Cricetulus griseus: one gene and its partners. The protein of the gene in region 2 interacts with the protein of the main gene of each other region in a pairwise test. Links are inferred from orthologs where the notes say so. Each region holds a gene or a part of one and is shown on either strand. Other genes may lie near its edges. The genes, in order: Spred2, Top3b, Mid2 and Ssx2ip.

Region 1 (4,893 bases), on a different chromosome or scaffold from region 2:
CAGACATGAGGGCATGAGGGCAGGTCTCTGCTGCTGTTGGTTTTCCCAACGAAACAAGCACATTGATCACCTCAGAGCAAGGAGGCAGGAGGCTGTCCAAAGGCATTTTGGGCAGAGGGCAGATGTAGCAGAATGTCCCATGTATGGTCAGTGGCTGTGGCTTAGAATAAGCGCTGTGGCCGGCAGTGGTGGTGCACACCTTTAATCCCAGCACTCCAGAGGCAGAGGCAGAGGCAGGCGGATATCTGTGAGTTCGAGACCATCCTGGTCTACAAGAGCTAGTTCCAGGACAGCCTCCAAAGCCACAGAGAAACGCTGTCTCAAAAAACAACAACAGAAAAAGAACAAGCTCTGTGAACAAAGTTTCCTTGTGACCTATTGCAGCAGCCCTAACAGTTCGGTAGAGAGGTAGAGAATGGAGCAGAGAGCAGGGTGTGAAGAGGTAGTCAGACCCCTGGCCCTAGTAAAGAGAAGAGCACTAGAACCTAGAGGAGGAACCTGTGATGGCTGAAGAGTAAGGTGCTTACAATTATATGTTGGTGATGGCTCACACCTGTATGTAATTGAGGATTTGGAAAAAGGAGAAATAGCCTTATCTATGGAGTAAGTCTGAGGCCAACCTAGTCTTCATGAGACTATCCAAAAGGGAAAAAAAAATGAGGTTTGGAGGAAGTGCCCTTATTGGTGGTAATCTCAGGGATTGACTTGGTGCATGGGTAGCCTTGGTCAGGTACAAAGACATGGAAAGAGAAGAGTCCCGGAAACAAGATGCACAGTTATCAGAAAAATCCTCAGGGCCACTGGTGACACACTAGGTTTTGTGCAGAGGGATGGGGCAGTTTGCCGGTCTGGTAAAGTCTTCATGGAATTGGGGGGTGGAACCTAGAGTTGAAGAAAACTGAAGGCAGGTAGGGAATGGTTTAGTGATGCACACATCTCTCTTAGACCAGGGCAGGGGGTGTGTTTGCCTGAGAGATCCTCCACTGGCACCTTCCACTGAGTCTAGGTAAAGAAAGCAAAGGGACTTTTGTGTGGGACAAGATGTTGCCTGAGTGTGGGAAGGCAGTGAAGTCACAGCAGCAGATCACAGAAAGTGGGTGAGAGGTGAACAGAGATGGAGGGGGCCGGGGCAGGACAGGATGTCTCTGAGATTGTGGAATCTGTCCCTGAGTGCTGAGGTGGCACACAGTCCTCCTTGGCTCCCCATTTTATGTCACTGCTTCCCCCAATTCTGGCACCATGCCTGGTATATACAAGATGGGAATATGTGTTCTAATGGGATAGGGAAAAGGATTTTAGGTAATAGGATAGTAGGGCTTAGGGCAAAATCATGTATTTAGACTGAAAAAAAGGAAATTATAAGCAAAGGCTGTAAGTGTGTAGAGGTGAGTTAAAGTCTTCACACCTATATAAGTGGTGCATGGAATTGTGACCATGTAATTTAGAAGTGGATTATTATATTGCTTGCTAAATAGGATTCTTAAATTCATAAAATGTTAAAGCTTGGTCATTTATTATAAACTAAGTTTAAAAAATTAAGGTTGTAACATCCCTTTGAAGTTAATAGGCTTGACTTTCCAAGTCAGATAGATGTCCAGTTCTAGAGATTAGCTTATTCATTCAATAATACTTAGCACGCAGAAACTGGAGATTGTTGTGCCCGTGTGTATCTTCAGAGATTCACTAGTGAAATGTGATGATTAGTGGGTGTCTCTTTTAAGATGACTTCTATATTGCATTACATGTTGTTTTTCCTAAATGTCAAGATGGGCTCCCATTTAAGGTTATTGTCAGCCGTATCTGCAGACAAATCAGAAGTGTCTTGCCCCAGAAAGCATGTTCTGCAGCTACTAGACTGTTGTCATGCCCCTTCTTGTTGTCGTTTTAGTGACAGCTATATTGTGCGTGTCAAGGCTGTGGTTATGACCAGAGATGACTCCAGCGGGGGATGGTTCCCACAGGAAGGAGGCGGGATCAGTCGCGTTGGGGTGTGTAAGGTCATGCACCCTGAAGGCAATGGACGAAGCGGCTTTCTCATCCATGGTGAACGACAGAAAGACAAACTGGTAATGACAGACACACATCTTAGTAGTTAAAGTAACAATGACTGATTTCTGCACATAAGTTACAGCCCTTTGCCCTTTGATATTTCTAATATAACCTCCCATTTTCAGCGCAGTCTCTTGGCCATACATCGTATAGAGTGCATGTAATAAGGGTATTTGACCATTTTGTTTGCATCTTTGATTAATCAAGGTGTGCCATTTTAACGGGTATTAAAAGCAAAAGCATGTTCTTTGACAAGTCATGTAGCGACAAACTTGGAATCAGGGTTTTCCATGTGAGATTTGGGTGGGAGAAGGTAAGGAGTGAGAAGGCATCACCTAGCATTGGTTCCTTATAAATAATTGTTTGTCTGAAAGATTCCAGAGCTAGGGGCTGGGAAGATGGCCCAGAGTGTACAAGTATTTGCCGTGTAAGCATGAAAACCTGAGGTTGGATCCCAGTACCCAAATAAAAATATGGTGGCCTTGCAGGCCTGTCACCCAGCACTGTAGATCACCAGGGATTACTGACCCAGCCTTAGCTCCAGGTTCACTGAGGCACCTCGTCTCAGGAATAAGATGAAGGTTGGGAAAGCAGGGTGCCTGATATCTTTCTTCAGCCTCCACTCACAAAAGGTGCATATACACCACACAAACACACCCAGCTTTTATTTCATAAGTAATTAGTAAAGCATCTTTGGTAAAAGAAAAGCACGAAGAACATTAGCATGGCACTTCTATAAGAAATTGTGTGTGCTAGGAAACAAATACATGGGAAAGAGAGCCTTATCCCAATTGTGGGATAATATACAGTCTCATGGAGGAACTTTGATGGCCAGTTACACAACGGTTTATGATAGGGCGGAAGATAAACCATCCAAGTCCAGTTTATTCTTTTTTGGGGTGGGGCAAGGTGCCAGAGCTCAAACCTAGGACTTTGTGCATGGTGGGCATCTGCTTTAGCATTGAACTCCACCCCCCAGCCCAAGCTAGTCTCTCTCACCTTCCTTCCTATTCTTGCTGAGACTTGAACCCAGAGCCTTGCACATCCTGGGCCAGCACTTTCTCGGCAGAGAGCTATGTGTCCCCAGTCCTAAGTCTTCTTCAGACAGACTACTCTCAACATGGTTTACTTTCCACCGTTTTACAATCTGTTTATTCCACTATATAAACAGTCCATCACATTTTCAGTCACTCTAGATTTTGAATATATAAGATCTCCCAGAGGAAATGCACATGGCTCCTCACTATGTTGGTGTTACATTTGAGAGCCTGGGAAGGTTTCATGTGTGAAATGTGTAGATATGCTCTTTTTTCCCCAACCACTTCTTGTGGTTGAAGAAAATTACCAAATAGGTAAGACAGAATAGTTTGTAAATATCACAGATTAACTGAAATGCTACTTTATACTTAGTTCACTCTTCAAAATTCTCTCTGTGCCGGCAGTTGGACCACACTATAAAGAAAATGAAATGGCCAGGTATGGTGGTACACACCTTTAATCCTAGCACTTGGGAGGCTAAGACAGGCACAGGCAGATCTCTGTAAGTTCAAGGCCAGCCTGATCTACACAGCAAGCTCCAGGCCAGTCTAGGTAGTGAGCCCCTGTCTCAAACACACATGCGAGCACACACACACACACACACACACACACCAAATAAATAAGATCTTAGAAAAAGGTGGCTTGGCTACCATGTGCCTGTCATGTACCCCCAGCTAAGCACAGGGTTAGCCCATTAGTTGGGTGATGCTCAGGGAATGATTTCTTGTTCTTGGGGACCATATTTAATACAGCATTACACAAATCCCCAAACCAATGCAGTCACAATGCACAGCTGTGCGTTTTCATTTCCACACAATTTTTGTCAGTTTGTAAAGAGCTTTGTATTTCACTCATTTGTCACCTACATTCTCTTTAAGAACTTTCCAGTTGTTCACACTAATGTGATGTTCCGTTGTTAGACCATCTCCTTAGAATGTACCCCCCCATCACCATAGTATTATGAAGACACATTTAACTGCATTTTCCACATTTCATGTTTTTTGCTTTTTAAGAAATAATTTGGAGCCGGGCATTGGTGGTGCATGCCTTTAATCCCAGCATTTGAGAGGCAGAGATAGGCCGACCATCTGTGTTCTGAGTTTAAGGCTAGCCTGGTCTGCAAAGTGAGTTCCAGGACAAGCAGGCCTACTCAGAGACACTCTTGTCTTGAAAAACCAAAAAGGAGAGAGAGAGAGAGAGAGAGAGAGAGAGAGAGAGAGAGAGAGAGAGAGAGAGCGCTAATTTGGAACATGATTTTTCACATGGGTGCTGCTACTGCTGTGTGAGATTTTCCGTTAACATTTTGAGGTCATATGTTTTAAATCTCTGTCATTTGATAGAATAACAGTGGTCTCTGTCTGTCACTTATGAATGACCTTATAGGGTTTCCTGCTTGTTAAAAAACTGTTAATTGTTAGTCAGCCAGCCAGATGGCCCAGTGTATGAGGGCACAGGCAACCAAGCACATGGCCTGAGTTCAATCCCTGGAACTCACGTAGTAGGAGAAAAGAGATTGTTGTAGATGGTCCTCTGACCTCCATGTGTGCTTCAGGGCACATGCCCTCCCATACATGCACACACAAAAAATAAGTGTTTTTATTCTTCTTCATCATGACTGAATTATCTGTCAGTGTCCTTTGCATATTTGTTTACTGGAACTTTACTCTTTGTATGTGTCCTACCCTGGTGTTATAAGGTATTTGACTTTACCTTGACTTATTACTGATAATAGATTTTAATAATTTGTTTCTTGCCTTTTCCACTTTTACATTTTTATTCTTCAGAATTTCACTAGAAATTCTTTCT
Region 2 (3,711 bases):
TGCTGGAAAGGAAGACAACAGCAGTGTCTGAGAGCCTAGGGGGCTTTGTTTGCCAGGTGTCACTGTCTGAGACTGCTTGTCTCTCACTTAGCCCAGGCCCTGAGACACAGCTTGTCCTCTGTCCAGATCCTAAGTGAACAAACTGCTTATTCAATTATGACCCAGGGGTACCCAGACCTGAGCAGTGGCCCAAGTATTTCTGGGGTCTCTGACTCAGTACTAGTGGGTACAGATAGGGAAGGATGGGTAAGGGACCCCATTGGAGTCTGGTATGATGCTGGGAACAGCCATGTGCCATACTTACCTTTCTTCATGTCTCGGAAGGGTGGGTGGTTATAGCAGTAGGGACACAGTGGGTAGCTCTTGCCCCGGGAGCCTGAGGACCACAGGACCAGTTCAAAGTCATCCAATGGACACCGCAGCTCCTTGTAGAGCTTGATGGTACCATTCTGGGGGAGGGTGTAGGTCTCGTCACAGTGGGAGCAGTGTAGGCGGCTTGGCTTGGCCTATGGGATGGGATGGGAACAATGAGAAGGGGTATGAGAGCTGCTTGGTGTGCCTCTTGCCCAAAGTCCTCCCCTTCACAACACGAATAGGCAATGCGGAATACCTAACAGATACACAGAATGTACAATTCAGTGTCAGGCAAGGACCTCTCAACCACTGGTATGAGGCCCAGTTATCACACCACCCCTTTCCTTCCTCCCTCCCTCTTTTCCACAGGCAGGGATTCTAAAGCCCCAGCACAGGGCTGGTGGATGGTCATCAGGTGAAGGTACTTGATGTGAAGCTGAGTTCAATCCTTAGAACATCTGATGGAAGGAGAGAACTGACTCCTGCAAGTTGTTCTCTGACCTCCACATGTGTTGTGGAGTGCACGCACATATGGGCATGCTTGTGCGCACACACAACCGGACTGTTACCAATAGTCATGAGAGCAAGAGAAATGATGGTGGGCGGTGGTGGCGCACCAAGGCCACACAAAGAAACCCTATCTCAGGGGGAAAAAGATAGAAATGGTGGCAAGAGGGAATGGATGGACACTGTGTGTGCATCCTGGTGGTTTATGTTGTTATCAGTGTGGATTCAGACCCTTTAATCATTCTGTGTGACAACTAAGACAACAAACATTATTTCTGCAGGACTGATGACAAAGCAAAGGGTTAAGGTGATGTGTGCAGGAATACCGTGGCCAGAAGTGGCTATAGTCCTTCGGCTCCACATACCTGGATGTACTTCATAAATCGATGGCACTTCCCACAACGTGAGAGGGGCTTGCCCGTGGCAGCCAGGGGTGAAAAGGATACCTCCATCAACTCGTCCATGCCTGAGAACAAGCAGAGCCCAGGAGTCATGTCTCTCTTGTCTTTGGCAGCCAACAGGTGGCTTGTGGGACGGGGTGAGCTGGGTGGGACTGGATGGAACACAGAGTCCAGCACATATATATGGTCAAGAGCCCAGTTGTGACTGTCAATGATAGACTATGGAGCTGTAGCCCTGTTCATCAGCTTTGTATATGCCCAGTGTGGATGCTGATCAACCTGGACAATAGCTGATGACCTGAAGACGCTCAGAGCCTGGATGTGGGAGTGGGCCTCAGGTGGCTGTGTCCTACTGGAATGGCTGCTGCTGAAGGGCAGGGAAGAGGCAGGTCTTACCAGCAATAGAATCAACAAAGTAGTGGAACTTTCTCTTGAAGATATCCAGGGTGTGGCCCAGAACCTGGTGGTAGTCAGCTTTGCCCTGAGCAATCAGGTTCAACTGCTTTTCCACTGCGCTTCGGATGGTGGGGAGTACCAGCTCTGCATCTATAAGCCAGTGGGTGAATGCTGCTGTGGGCACTGGCACGCAGGACCCTGCTACCCCACTGGGCAGGCAAGAACTGCTGTCTTGCTTGACCCAGTTTTCCTGGGTTCCCCCTGGCTGCTTGTCTACAGAGTTGGAAGCATCAAGGGCAGCTCCTATCGCCGTCAAACTTTCCCTGGTTTCCCATCAGAAAAGTTTTTTTTTTTTTTTTTTTTTTTTTGTGTGTGTGTGTGTGTGTGTAGAAATCTTGTGCAGAATGGCCAGGTCTGTGCTGCATTCCTCCATCTTGCAAAGAACTGGGGGCATGCTTTAGTGAGCAGCTGGTGGAGAACCAGGTCTGCTTTGTGGAAGAACCCTCTGTTGGACCCATTATAATCTGTTCATTAATCAAATTCCTGAGTCCTCACAGCATCTTTGTAGTGGGGACTGGGGAAACGCATGAGGAGCACAGGGCCACTGTAGGAGGCTGCAGAGCTACAGCGTAGGAAGGAACCGGGAAGCCCAGCAGGTCACAGGTAGTGGGTAGATAGACTCACCGATCTTGTAGTAACCATGTACCAGAACGATGCCAAGGTTGGTGGGCTTGAGCCGGCGGCCACTCTCCACAGTGACATAGTTGCGCTGGCAGATGTTGTTGATGTGCACAGGGATACTGGCATCAGTCCCTGGAAGGCACAGCATGGCTCTGGGTATCCCTCAGCCTGCCCCAGAAGATGCTCTGGGCTATGCACTCTAGTCTCATCCACCTGTCAAAGGAACCCTGTTTTCTGGCCCTCCCAGACACCCGTGGAAGGAGTATCATGTTACAAACTGCAGCTTATTTTGCTCACTGGGTCCAGACTGCTGTCTCCTGTATGGCTTCCAGAAGCCATGATACAGAAAGGTTCCCAAGACAGAGCAGGGCTGTCTCTGCACTGTGCTGGCACACCTGTTAACCCAAGGACAGGCTTCATTGGTGTTTAGTTTTATAATTAGAAGACAGAGGCCCAGAGAGTATAAAGGACTATGTTAAGGTCAGAGAGCATTTCCTGAAACCATTAAATGCAACTTGGCCTCTTCTACCTGGACTGTGACACATATGTTCTCTAGACATCAGGGTCCAGCTGCTAGTGCTGGCAGAGGAACATTTATCTTTCCATAAGTACTCTCAGCAACTTTTATAGGGAAGATACTGCCATCGGGGGTTGAGGAGCTTTCAGAGGTTCCATGACTCATAGCCAAGGGTAGGAATTGGCCCCAATCATGGCAGTTTGCACATGCAATGGTTCCTGGATGACTGTTATAGTCAGATCTTGTTTTTTGTTTTTGTTTTTAAAGACAGAGTCTCACTCCATAGCCCAGGCTGGCCTTGAACTTGTGGCAATCTTTCTTCCTCAGCTTCCTAAATGCTAGGATTACAGATACAAGTCATTATGTCCAGGTAGGTAAGCCCTTTTTTATACTGCCCATGGACCTTGTTCAACAACACTGCCTTCATTCACTTTCCTGTTCAGAAGGTCACATAAGAACGCTGTTCACTGTCCCAAACTGAAGTGTATGTTGGTCTCTGGGTCTGTAGCAGTCTCACATATGCTACTAATTTAAGTCATGGCTGTGGGAAAGGCTCTTAGCACTTGGCTAGCCCATCAATGGGAACTTGCTGCAGGCTGAGGTTACTATCAGGACTCACTTTAGGCACCTGGCCCTGGGGAGAAGCAGACCACACCAGAATTCTAGGGTAAGCCTGCCCAGTTAGTTGTGTGTTTTGGGGAGGCTGCTAATCTGTCCCAGGAATCCTTCAGAATCCTGGGCTAACCTTGAGTCTGGAGGGCACTTGTCAGTGTATACTGGTCCCTTGGTGCACAAGGCTGTATCAGTCTTCATACAGAAGGCCAGGTTGAGATGCAGGGCCTTGTAAACAGCTTT
Region 3 (5,485 bases), on a different chromosome or scaffold from region 2:
AGCCAAAGACAGTATTCTTTCCTCTTCATCAAGCCAATGAGTTTTGCTGGGTGATTAAAAAAAAAAACCCAAAAACAATCTTCTGTAGTTTCCTTCTTAATTGTTGTGGTGTCAGCAGATTTTATGGGAGGAGGGAATGGAAAGGTTCACTACTCAGAACACTAGTTGGACACAATTATGAGACTCCACCGGCACTATTTTAAGATCTGCAAGTTGGAGCAAGTTGCCCTGTTCTTAGAGGAAGGATTAACCAATTTTATCTAAGTCAATTTGCACTGTTCAGATGATCTGTTTGTGAAGCAACCATGTCACTCCTATTTGCAGCAGTACCTCTCAGAAATGGTCTTGCAAGGTACAACATGCTAGGTAGAAATCCTAGTAGTTATGAAAGTAAATAGAAGAGAGAGAGCCCTTCATGGTCCATAACCGCTCTTTCTACTCCACACATTACACTCCCCCGCCCCATCCTAGCCTTGGAGATGGAAGCAGAGTTCAGCATAACACAAATATGAACCCAAAATACTGAGACAAGTCTAGGGCCTCAACACAATCAGCAGAGGCCTCTGTATATTAAAGGTTCTTTAAAAAAATATTGACTCACTGCTGCAAGGTGCTAATCATGCTTGGCTAGCCAGACCTAAAACTATGCCACTTTTTATTGGGCATTAAGTAACTGCCCCCATGTTAGCTAAAAATGGGTGAGGTTGTGTATTCAAATGAGTCTGACTCAGATTGTTAGGTTAGAGTGCAATCAATATGATTTATGACTCGACTTAAAATCATCACCATTACTTTCTATGTCTAATTGTGTATGTTTCCATTCAGCTACACATACATTTGGTGAAACAAATTGACTTAAGATCTAAATTACAATAATGATTTGGATCCCAGGGGGACTAATAATGGCAAATTAAGGTTTCTGTAAATTAGTGTTCCCATTTATACCCAGTCAACCCAGTAACCCAATAAAGGATAAATGAAGTGCTTTCATTGAAAAATATAATGCTGAGGTTTATAGAATCCTTTTATCTTCAAAGGACCAAGCCAATACTCACAATACCCAGTGCATAATATTATGCCTTTTATGCAAGGGCAGCAACTGTCAAAGAAAGGTCATACAAATGTCTAAAGGCCATAAAGCCAATGCAACATCACATTTGCAATGGACTCTCTGATCTTGGCTCCAAGACTTGTGTTTCAACCACATGAATCAAGTTTTGTAAGGAACAATCAAGAGAAATTTAATTCACATTATGAGTCTGTATTAAGTTAATTGAGCAGGAATATATAAAAATAACAAAAACTGACTCTCCCTCAGGGCAGTGATGAGTGGGGAGGTAAAAAGGTGTGTGTGTGTGGTGAGGTGCTAAGCCAGGGTATAGCAGAGGCTCCATAAGCAGAAGTGAGAAATATAAACTCTCTATTTGGCAACCCCTTCTCCTGTTGGAATTCTGTCAGAGTTGATTCGATTTCGGAGAGGAAGTAGAATCGAATTAAAGTCAGCCCTTATGGTCCAATTTGAAAATCGGATTAATTAATCCCCACACAACAGTTGTCTATTATTACAATTTCCAGGGTTTTCCTTCATAAATACTCCCCCTCGGAGACACACAACTGCCATTCACCGGCCCCACCCTACAAAATCTTCCAAAAAAGAAAAAAAGCAAAGTGATTGAAAAGCAAGAAGGTGCGTTGCTGGATGATGTGCACAGGTTGGTAGAGAAAAGCCGAGAGTGCGGGGACTCTGGGGAGAGACGTGGGTGGACAAATGTTGTGAGGCAGGAATAAGAGGCATACTAGTGTCAGTGCATAAGGAGTGCCAAGAGAGTGGAAAGTGAGGAGTCCCATCATCTCAGGATCCTAATTGCCTGCTCGAAATAGAAATGCCTCCAAACTAAATAAATAAATAATGTGCTGCACGTGAAGTGCGAAATAACCTAAGCCAGCTCATGGCCAGTAGTGTTACAGTAAATCTGCCTGCCGTTACTTAATTCTTACGAGCCCGAAATGGGAAAAGCCTCAAATGTTCCTGCTTCAGTAGCAGTGTGTCCTGTGGACACCCTCAAGTTTTCCTTCTCCCCCCCCCCCCCACGGCGCTGCTTTCACAGCTAGGCCAGAAATAAGGAACCACCCAGACAGAGACTTGAGGATCCCTTGCTTCCTCCAGCGAAAAGGGGGGATTAAGTTTCTCCCGGGTTCCCGCCGGCTGGGTGTCCGCAGCATCACAGGCTGCTGCGCCAGCACCGCTGAGCAAACCGCCGACCACGGGGCGCCGCCCGGGCCGAGGACGCCGTGGATTGCGGGAGCGTGGGAAGGCGGCTGCGCCCTTTCCCAGACTTGCGCCTGGGCGCCAGGAGAGCCGCTCCACTGCTTTCTCCCGGCTGGGCCTGGCCAAGCGGGAGGCCTCGGGCCGTTCCCCGCCTGGGATCCAGGAGTGCAAACTCCTTCGCACGAGGGCAGTGGCAGGAACCCGGGTCACCACAGTGTGACAGACACCGCGGGCCCCGCTACTGCCGCCTGGAGCCTCGCGGACCCTGTCTCCCCCCCTCCCCTTCCCGCCGAGCCCGGGTATCCTCGGCCAACGCTGGCACCTGAAGAGCAACCGGAGCCGGGGCCGAGCCCTGCGCGGGCGGCGACACTCGACCCCCCCACCCACCCAAGGGCCGCGACGAGGGGACGCATTTTTTTACCCATATTGTTCTCGGGTGCCAGCCATGTCCTACACGCGCCTGGGAGCGTCGGCCGCTCGCTGGCCTCCGCAGCAAGCTGGCTTGGGCTCCCGTGCGAGCTCCCGGGCCGCTGTCGCTGCCGCCGCCGCCACCACCACTCTAGGCCGCCGCCTGCCTTCGCCGCTGCGGCCGCCGCCGCCACCGCCGCGCAGCAGCCGGGATCCGCCAGCCCGCGCGCCCCACAGGGGACAGCACGGAGACCGCGACGTTCCCGCGTCTGGGTCTCCCGGGCGAAACTTGAGAGTTTTCGCCTCTCAGTCCAGAGGCAGCACCATGACACCACCGCAGCACCACACTGTCATTTCCGCCGCCGCAGAGGAAAAAAAAAAAAGCAATCCCTTCGAAAGGAGGGTGGAGTGGGGGCAAGCGGAGCCGAAGCTGACACCCCCAAGGGAGCACTGGGAGGGGCCCGCGCAGAAGGGGCGCTGGGCCACCTTCCTAGGCTCACCTTCCTCCGCCCCCGCCACTCCCAGCTCCCCGTGCCCCTCCTCTGGAGGCGCGCTTACATGTTTTCTCCCCCGGCAGGAGTGACCGGAGAAACCTGAGCAAGCAAAGGCAGCGGGTGGGTGGGGTTCAGATTACTACTGTACCTACCAGCTGATTCCAGCAGCCTTTTCTCCAGCGCCCTGTCATCTTGATGGAAGACACAGGGAAAAGGGGTCTGAGCAGGCGTGTGTGTGTGTGTGTGTGTGTGTGTGTGTGTGTGTGTGTGTGTGTGTGTGTGTGTGTGTGTGTGTGTGTAGTATGCGTGCGTCTGCGAGCGGGTAGTGTGTGTGAAGTGCAGAGGGAAGACTATGGCCAAACTCTTCTCCCACCCACCACCCACTACCTCCACAAACCCCCAGATTAGCAAGGAAAAGGCACCCGCCAATGAGAAGAGTCTGCCTGGAACCTCCGCACAGGTCCTCCTGATGAAGCTGTACTATTGTACTATGCAAAGTTAACTAGAGAGTAAAACTAGAGAGGCATGGAAGAGATAGAGAAGGACAGACAATTGAAGGAAACCCAACCCCTTTCTCTTTTTACAAAGGGAGAGTGGCTGTGTTCTATTGGCCTTGGCCACAAGTTGTTCGGGTGGATTAAAGCCACTGAAAGTGTATGGGGGAGTAAAGGTTTCTTTTGCACCTTCAGACACTTGACAAACAAGACAAGATGGTCATTAACAGAAGGTCAAAGAGGCAGAAGCTAGTCATCCAAGAATGCTAGGTCCCTATTAAGAAGATTGGTCCATTTGGAACCCAGGAGCCTCCCATTGGTCTGGAGTCAGCCTATTTACTATTGACTCAAAGACCACTGCCCCTCTTAAGGTGGATGAGAGAAGGAAGCTGCCCCAGAGGATACTGCTTTAAACTCCACTCAAAAAGAGAGAAGAGGAAAGCAATCACATGAGCCTCCTATTACTGTGCTTGGGAACAAATCCAGAAAAAAAATGAAGGTTGCTGGGTGTGTCTTGTCAGGGAACCAATAGCAGTCACCCAACAGCACTGTTAAACAGTGTGCTAGAGAACTATGGAGTGGAAATGAAGGGGAAAAACCCAACCATGCTACCTTAAGGGAAGTACAGGGCTGAGAGATCTTAAAGTTAATGCGTCATACCCAAAACACAGACAACAAAAGCAAATGACATATGAGACTACATAGCACCTAACACCTACACAATAGAATGCACAATCAACACAGTTGGGAATGGGCGAAAATATTTGAAAACCATACGTGATAAAGGCTTAATATCTAGAATATACAAAGAGGGTAAAGTCAGCTCCCCTACATGCATGCTCTCAGGGTCGGTTCACCCTGGCCTGTGGTGAAGGGTGGGGGCCATCTCTCCAGCTTACAGGGACCAGCTCTCTTGCTGTTGTGTCCAGTGAGAGGCAAGGCCAGCTTTCCCAGGGCCAGTGAAGGGCGTGCCTGCCTCAGCATGGCCCTCTGATTTCATCTCGAATGGTTCCTAGGGTTTCATGAGGTGATACAGGCCACAGACACCCACACAGACCCCATTTGTAGCTGGACCACCCACCCAGACATGGCCCAAGGCAAGCAACTTGAGCCCAGATGACATCTGGGCTCTGGGTGGAGCTACTGGCCACTCAGGTGGGGATGATTGACTTTTTTTTCAGAAGTACATTCTTTTTATTTCTTTAGATATGCATATACAGATACATAAAAGAAATTTTACATTTCCTAAGATGACTCTCCATTTCTTCTACTTGTATTAAACTAATGCTCATAAAGATACTGAAGGACTGTTTCAAAAAACCTTATCTTCAGTAACCTCAAAAATATGGAACACTTTACGAATTTGCGTGTCATCCTTGTACAGGGGCCATGCTAATCTTCTCTGTATCATTCCAATTTTAGTATATGTGCTGCTGAGGCGAGCGCATGATTGACTTTTTAGAAATAATTTTAAAGACTAAAGGTCATAGAGATAGGAAGTAGAATGAAAGTTACTAGGGGCCAAGGGCATGACGGAATGAGTTGTTTAAAACATACATGGTTTCTGTGTGGGATTCTTGAAAATTTTCTAGAAATAATTTGTTTCATGGAAGTAATTAATGCAACTAATAGTACACTAAAAAGTGGTTAAAGTGGTAAATTGTATGTTATGTATATTCAACCACAGAAAACAAGATAAAATGTGAAAAGAAAGAGGAAGTATACTGAACAAGTATAGCTCATCCCATTTATGTAAGCAAAATATATGTATATCAGCACATGTATAGAAGAGCCTAGCTCATATCTCTGTGAGTTCGAGA
Region 4 (4,893 bases), on a different chromosome or scaffold from region 2:
AGATCAGAGGACAACTTGTGGAAGTCAGTGTCGTCTTCCACCATTGCATCAGATGGGTCCCAGGTGTTGAACTCAGGTCATCCAGGTTGGTGGCAGGTGCCTTTACCATCTCCTGACCTGATCAGTGTTAACAGCAGGTTTGGTTTGTTTTTCTTTGTTTTTTGTTTGTTTGTTTGTTTGTTTTGAGACAGGGTTTCTCTGTGGCTTTGGAGGCTGTCCTGGAACTAGCTCTTGTAGACCAGGCTGGTCTCGAACTCACAGAGATCCACCTGCCTCCCGAGTGCTGGGACTAAAGGTGTGTGCCACCACCGCCAGGTTTGTAATCAGGGTGTAGCACCTGATTAAATCCCTCCTGCTCCACAAGCTGCAGCTTTAAGTATAGCATGATGCTGCAGCTGGGAAATTCTAAATTGGATCTCCCAAGACAGCGCAGCGGGAATCAAGCCACACAAAAATATTTCATAAGTAAATTACTTTCAGATTGTGCATACAAGGTACATTTGAAATAGAGTTCATGTTTAGGCTTATATCATACTTCTAACACATACACATAAGCAGACAGACAGAAGAGACAGATACTGTAAAATCCCAAAGTATCTTAAATCCCAAGTGCTCAGGCCCCAAGTGTCTGGTGAGGGATGCTTAGTCTGTAGTCTAAGAGACTTTGAAATGGGTTACAGGCCCATAGCTCCTGGAGACCAATGATGGCAAGAACAGTCACTGAGCCATCTGCTAAGCCTTAATCACCCGCTCCGCTTAGCTGGATCTGCTACCCCAGTGCTGATGTCACAGTGTCTGCTTAGACCTGACCTCTGCTACCCCAGTGCTGACGTCACAGCGTCTGCTTAGACCTGACCTCTGCTACCCCAGTGCTGACGTCACAGCGTCTGCTTAGACCTGACCTCTGCTACCCCAGTGCTGACGTCACAGCGTCTGCTTGGACCTGACCTCTGTTACCCCAGTGCTGACGTCACAGCGTCTGCTTAGACCTGACCTCTGCTATCCCAGTGCTGACGTCACAGCGTCTGCTTAGACCTGACCTCTGACCTGACCTCTGCTACCCCAGTGCTGACGTCACAGCGTCTGCTTAGACCTGACCTCTGCTACCCCAGTGCTGACGTCACAGCATCTGCTTAGACCTGACCTCTGCTACCCCAGTGCTGACGTCACAGCGTCTGCTTAGACCTGACCTCTGTTACCCCAGTGCCAGCTCTTCATTGCTGCTGCATTTGTCTGATTGGGGGGAGGGGGGTATAATAACTCTTCTTTCTTTTAACCTTTTGCCACCTTTCTCCTGAGAGGTATTTTTCATAGTCAAGTGTTTCAACCTTCCTGGAAATTAGTAACAAATAAAGACTATTGTATATAGATGCATGTTTGACTTAAGTTTTCATATTGTTTTCTGTGGTAACTTAATCAACATTGGTACATTTTCCTATAATTTCATGTTTTGGTCCAACAAAAAGAAAAACATGTCAGCCATAAAATGATAGGAGAATTGGGATTAACTGTTTGACTCTGTTGATAATTTCAAAAGGTTTACTTGTTGCAGCAGTCTAAACTTAGAGACAAATCGACCAGTCTCAGTCCTGCCTGTCTTCTGTGTGACACTGAGCCTGCCTCTGAGCCTGAGTTTCTTTTTTGCACAGTTTGAGAAGTAAATGTGCAGCAGCATCCAGCACAGCATTGCACAGACAGCAGCTGTCTCAGACAGCTCTGTCAGTCAGATTGGAAGAGATCTGAATTTGGGAGTTTCTGTCTTCAGTACCTTTTTACAAGATATAGATACTGGCTAATGGGTGAGAGATTGCTTGAGCCCGATAGAGCAGCCTGGGTGTAAAAGCATTGTAAGTTACTGGTCTTTCCGTCGTTCTCTTTGGGCTGTAGGTTATCTCTGATATTGAAGATGACCTTGGAGAGCTGAGCAGAGAGAGCGCGTGGGGCCTCTCCTGTGACACTGTGAGAGAGCAGCTTACAAACAGCATCAGGAGACAGTGGAGGATCTTGAAAAGTCACGTGGAAAAACTCGATAACCAAGGTAACCCCTGCTGCAGTGCAGGAGAAGTGGGCGCCATGTAAGCTGCTGCTGTCCAGTGCAGGGCTGGCTGCTCTGGGTGTCTGGTTCTGCCTGGTTTGCCCCTGGCTTTGCACTCACTGACAGAGATGCACCTGGCTCCAGAACAAGTCTTAGAGAGCAGCATTGCTCACACTTGAAGTCCCCGTGCAGCTCGGTAGTGAACTGAACAACTTGTAGCTCGAGTATGAAGGCAAGCACTCTTATATGTGTTAAAGTCTGCGTGCTTCTAAATCAGGAAAGTTGAGTTTGTGCTTTTTCAGGTTTACATTTATCATTTTAATTGTGTTTGTGTGTGCAAAGGGGCGTGTCATGTGAGTGTAGGTTTCTGTGGAGGCCAGAGGTGCTGACTCCCCGGAGCTGAAGTTAACAGGTAGTTACAAGACCCCAACATGGGTGCTAGAAATGGAGCCTGGGAGCTCTAAGGAACAGAGTGCACTTTTCACCTCTGTCATTTCTTGAGCACTAAAATTTCTGTTTAGTAAAGTCAGTTACTTAAAGTTTATTGGAGTTATCAGTACAAAGCTGTGAGTCACAAAGGACAAACAGCATAGTTCTCACAGTTGCACATTCACTTGCAGTAATTTATTTTAAATGTGTGTTCAAGACCAGCTTAAGACAATAGTGGCTTTAAAACCTGTGCCTAGTTTCTGGCTCTCATCGTGGTTTCTATTGTTTTGGTAAACACCATGACCAGAAGCATCTTGAGAGGAAAGGGTAAATTTTACTCTGTGTGTGTGTGTGTGTGTGTGTGTGTGTGTGTGTGTGTGTGTGTGTGTGTTCCATTTTTTTATTTGAATTAGAAACAAGATTGTTTTACATGACAATTCCAGTTCCCTCTCCCTTCCCTCCTCCCCTGCCCCCCCCCCAACTAAAACGCTACCTATCACAAAACCTTTCTGCGCCCCCAGGGAGAGTGAGGCCTTCCATAGGGGATCTTCAGAGTCTATCATATCCTTTGGGATAGGGCCTAGGCCCAACCCCCGTGTGTCTTGGCTAAGGGAGTATCCCTCTATGTGGAATGGGCTCCCAAATCCACACCTAAGCTAGGGATAAGTACTGATCTACTACAAGAGGTCCCGTAGATTTCCGAGGTCTCCTCACTGACACCCACGTTCAGGGGGTCTGTGTCAGTCCCATGCTGGTTTCCCAGCTATCAGTCTGGGGACCAAGAGCTCCCCGTTGTTCAGGTCAGCTGTTTCTGTGGGTTTCAGCAGCTAATCCTTTGCTCATCACTGGTTCTTTTCTGGAACTGGATTCCAGTTCATTTCAGTGATTAGTTGTGGGTGTCTGCTTCTACTTCCATCAGCTGCTGGATGAGGGCTATCAGGTGGCATATAAGTCAGTCATCAATCTCATAATCAGGGGAGGGCATTTAAGGTAGCCTCTCCTCTGTTGCTTAGATTGTTAGCTGGTGTCATCATTGTCGATCTCCAGACATTTCCCGAGTGCCTGATTTCTCTTTAAACCTAAAATATCTCCCTCTATTATGGTATCTCTTATCTTATAAGAGATAACCTGCTTTCTCATACAACTCCAGACCACTTTCTCAGTGGTGGCCCCATCATACTGAGCTGGGCCTCCCACAAGGCCAGCCTGGTCTACAACGTGAGTTCCGAGACAGCCAGGGCTATACAGAGAAACCCTACTCCAAAAACAAACAAACAAACAAACAACTCATTACTGAAGAAAATGTCTCACAAGCTTGTCTGTGGAAGCATTTTCTCAGTTGTTCTCAGTTTGGGGCCCTCTTCTTTGATGACCCTTGCTGGAGTCAGGGTGACAGCAAACTAACCCAGCACACTGGGATTCTGTCAGTTTCAAAGGTCCACTCAGAAGGCCTCAATGATGAGGACGTCATCTCACGACAGGACCATGAAGAAGAGACTGAGAAACTGGAATTGGAGATCCAGCAGTGTAAAGAGATGATCCGAGCACAGCAGCAGCTCTTACAGGTAAAGGGATGGCCTCGGGGTGTTATTGAACCTGCTAGATTTTTGCTCCTGTGTCTCCTGAGGTCTGTAGAGTTGACACCCTTTACCATCTCAGGTGAGTCATCTGAACTAGCAGTTAATGAGCTGCAGCCTTGTTCACCTGGCCCCTACTTTGCCAAGGGAAGCAGCTCTTGGGAAAGCAAGTTCTCATTGCTTCATCGTGTATGTCCTTGGCCAAGCTCTGACCCATCTTCCCTGCGTTCACTGGAGTGTGAGTAAGCTGTCTGGGTTTCCTGACTTACTGTGTTTTAAACCTTAATAGCAGCAGCTGGCCACGACATGTGATGATGACACAACCTCACTGCTTCGAGACTGTTACTTGCTGGAAGAAAAGGAACGCCTTAAAGAAGAGTGGTCCCTTTTTAAAGAGCAAAAAAAGAATTTTGAGAGAGAAAGACGCAGCTTTACAGAAGCTGCGATCCGCTTGGGGCTGGAGGTGAGCTCTGCAGTGCTGCAGCCCCGAGCACAGGTGTCTGGGAGGGTGCAGGTGGATGCTCCTTGGATCCACTTCATCTGAAGGATCACACTAGCCATCCTACTCCCTGAGAAGAATGGTCAGAAATGACTACACTGTTAGTTTGGGATCTCAGCCATCCTCAGGCTGAGCTTTTAAGCACAAAACCAAAACTTGGGTTGACATACTTCAGTTAACAAGAACAGTTAGCCAGAGGCAGAAGTACAGAAGCCAGAAAGCAAGGCTAGTACATTTAGAGACTTTCCAAGAACTGTAGCTTTGGTGGACTAGATCTTTGTTTTGGTTTTGGCTAGAGGTGCTGTCCACATGCTGAGATCCATGGCCTGGGTGGCACTTCCATCATGGAGTCA

What was found.
Region 1: the proteins of Top3b (region 2) and Spred2 interact in binary tests that used the Homo sapiens proteins (3 or more experiments, as listed by UniProt). The link is inferred for Cricetulus griseus from reciprocal best matches to the Homo sapiens genes TOP3B and SPRED2.
Region 3: the proteins of Top3b (region 2) and Mid2 interact in binary tests that used the Homo sapiens proteins (3 or more experiments, as listed by UniProt). The two-hybrid records come from large-scale screens. The link is inferred for Cricetulus griseus from reciprocal best matches to the Homo sapiens genes TOP3B and MID2.
Region 4: the proteins of Top3b (region 2) and Ssx2ip interact in binary tests that used the Homo sapiens proteins (3 or more experiments, as listed by UniProt). The two-hybrid records come from large-scale screens. The link is inferred for Cricetulus griseus from reciprocal best matches to the Homo sapiens genes TOP3B and SSX2IP.

The regions. Positions count from the first base shown.
Region 1 is NW_023276807.1:86,503,960-86,508,852, reverse strand, and holds part of Spred2 (sprouty-related, EVH1 domain-containing protein 2), read left to right. Parts: intron 1-1,888; coding exon 1,889-2,066; intron 2,067-4,893. UniProt on the Homo sapiens protein: Negatively regulates Ras signaling pathways and downstream activation of MAP kinases. Recruits and translocates NF1 to the cell membrane, thereby enabling NF1-dependent hydrolysis of active GTP-bound Ras to inactive GDP-bound Ras.
Region 2 is NC_048597.1:72,444,967-72,448,677, forward strand, and holds part of Top3b (DNA topoisomerase 3-beta-1), read right to left. Parts: intron 2,472-3,711; coding exon 2,343-2,471; intron 1,809-2,342; coding exon 1,659-1,808; intron 1,328-1,658; coding exon 1,227-1,327; intron 507-1,226; coding exon 305-506; intron 1-304. UniProt on the Homo sapiens protein: Releases the supercoiling and torsional tension of DNA introduced during the DNA replication and transcription by transiently cleaving and rejoining one strand of the DNA duplex.
Region 3 is NC_048604.1:39,661,359-39,666,843, forward strand, and holds the start of Mid2 (probable E3 ubiquitin-protein ligase MID2), read right to left. Parts: upstream 3,192-5,485; 5' UTR 2,695-3,191; coding exon 2,691-2,694; intron 1-2,690. UniProt on the Homo sapiens protein: E3 ubiquitin ligase that plays a role in microtubule stabilization. Mediates the 'Lys-48'-linked polyubiquitination of LRRK2 to drive its localization to microtubules and its proteasomal degradation in neurons.
Region 4 is NW_023276806.1:12,736,480-12,741,372, reverse strand, and holds part of Ssx2ip (afadin- and alpha-actinin-binding protein), read left to right. Parts: intron 1-1,887; coding exon 1,888-2,038; intron 2,039-3,892; coding exon 3,893-4,029; intron 4,030-4,330; coding exon 4,331-4,504; intron 4,505-4,893. UniProt on the Homo sapiens protein: Belongs to an adhesion system, which plays a role in the organization of homotypic, interneuronal and heterotypic cell-cell adherens junctions (AJs).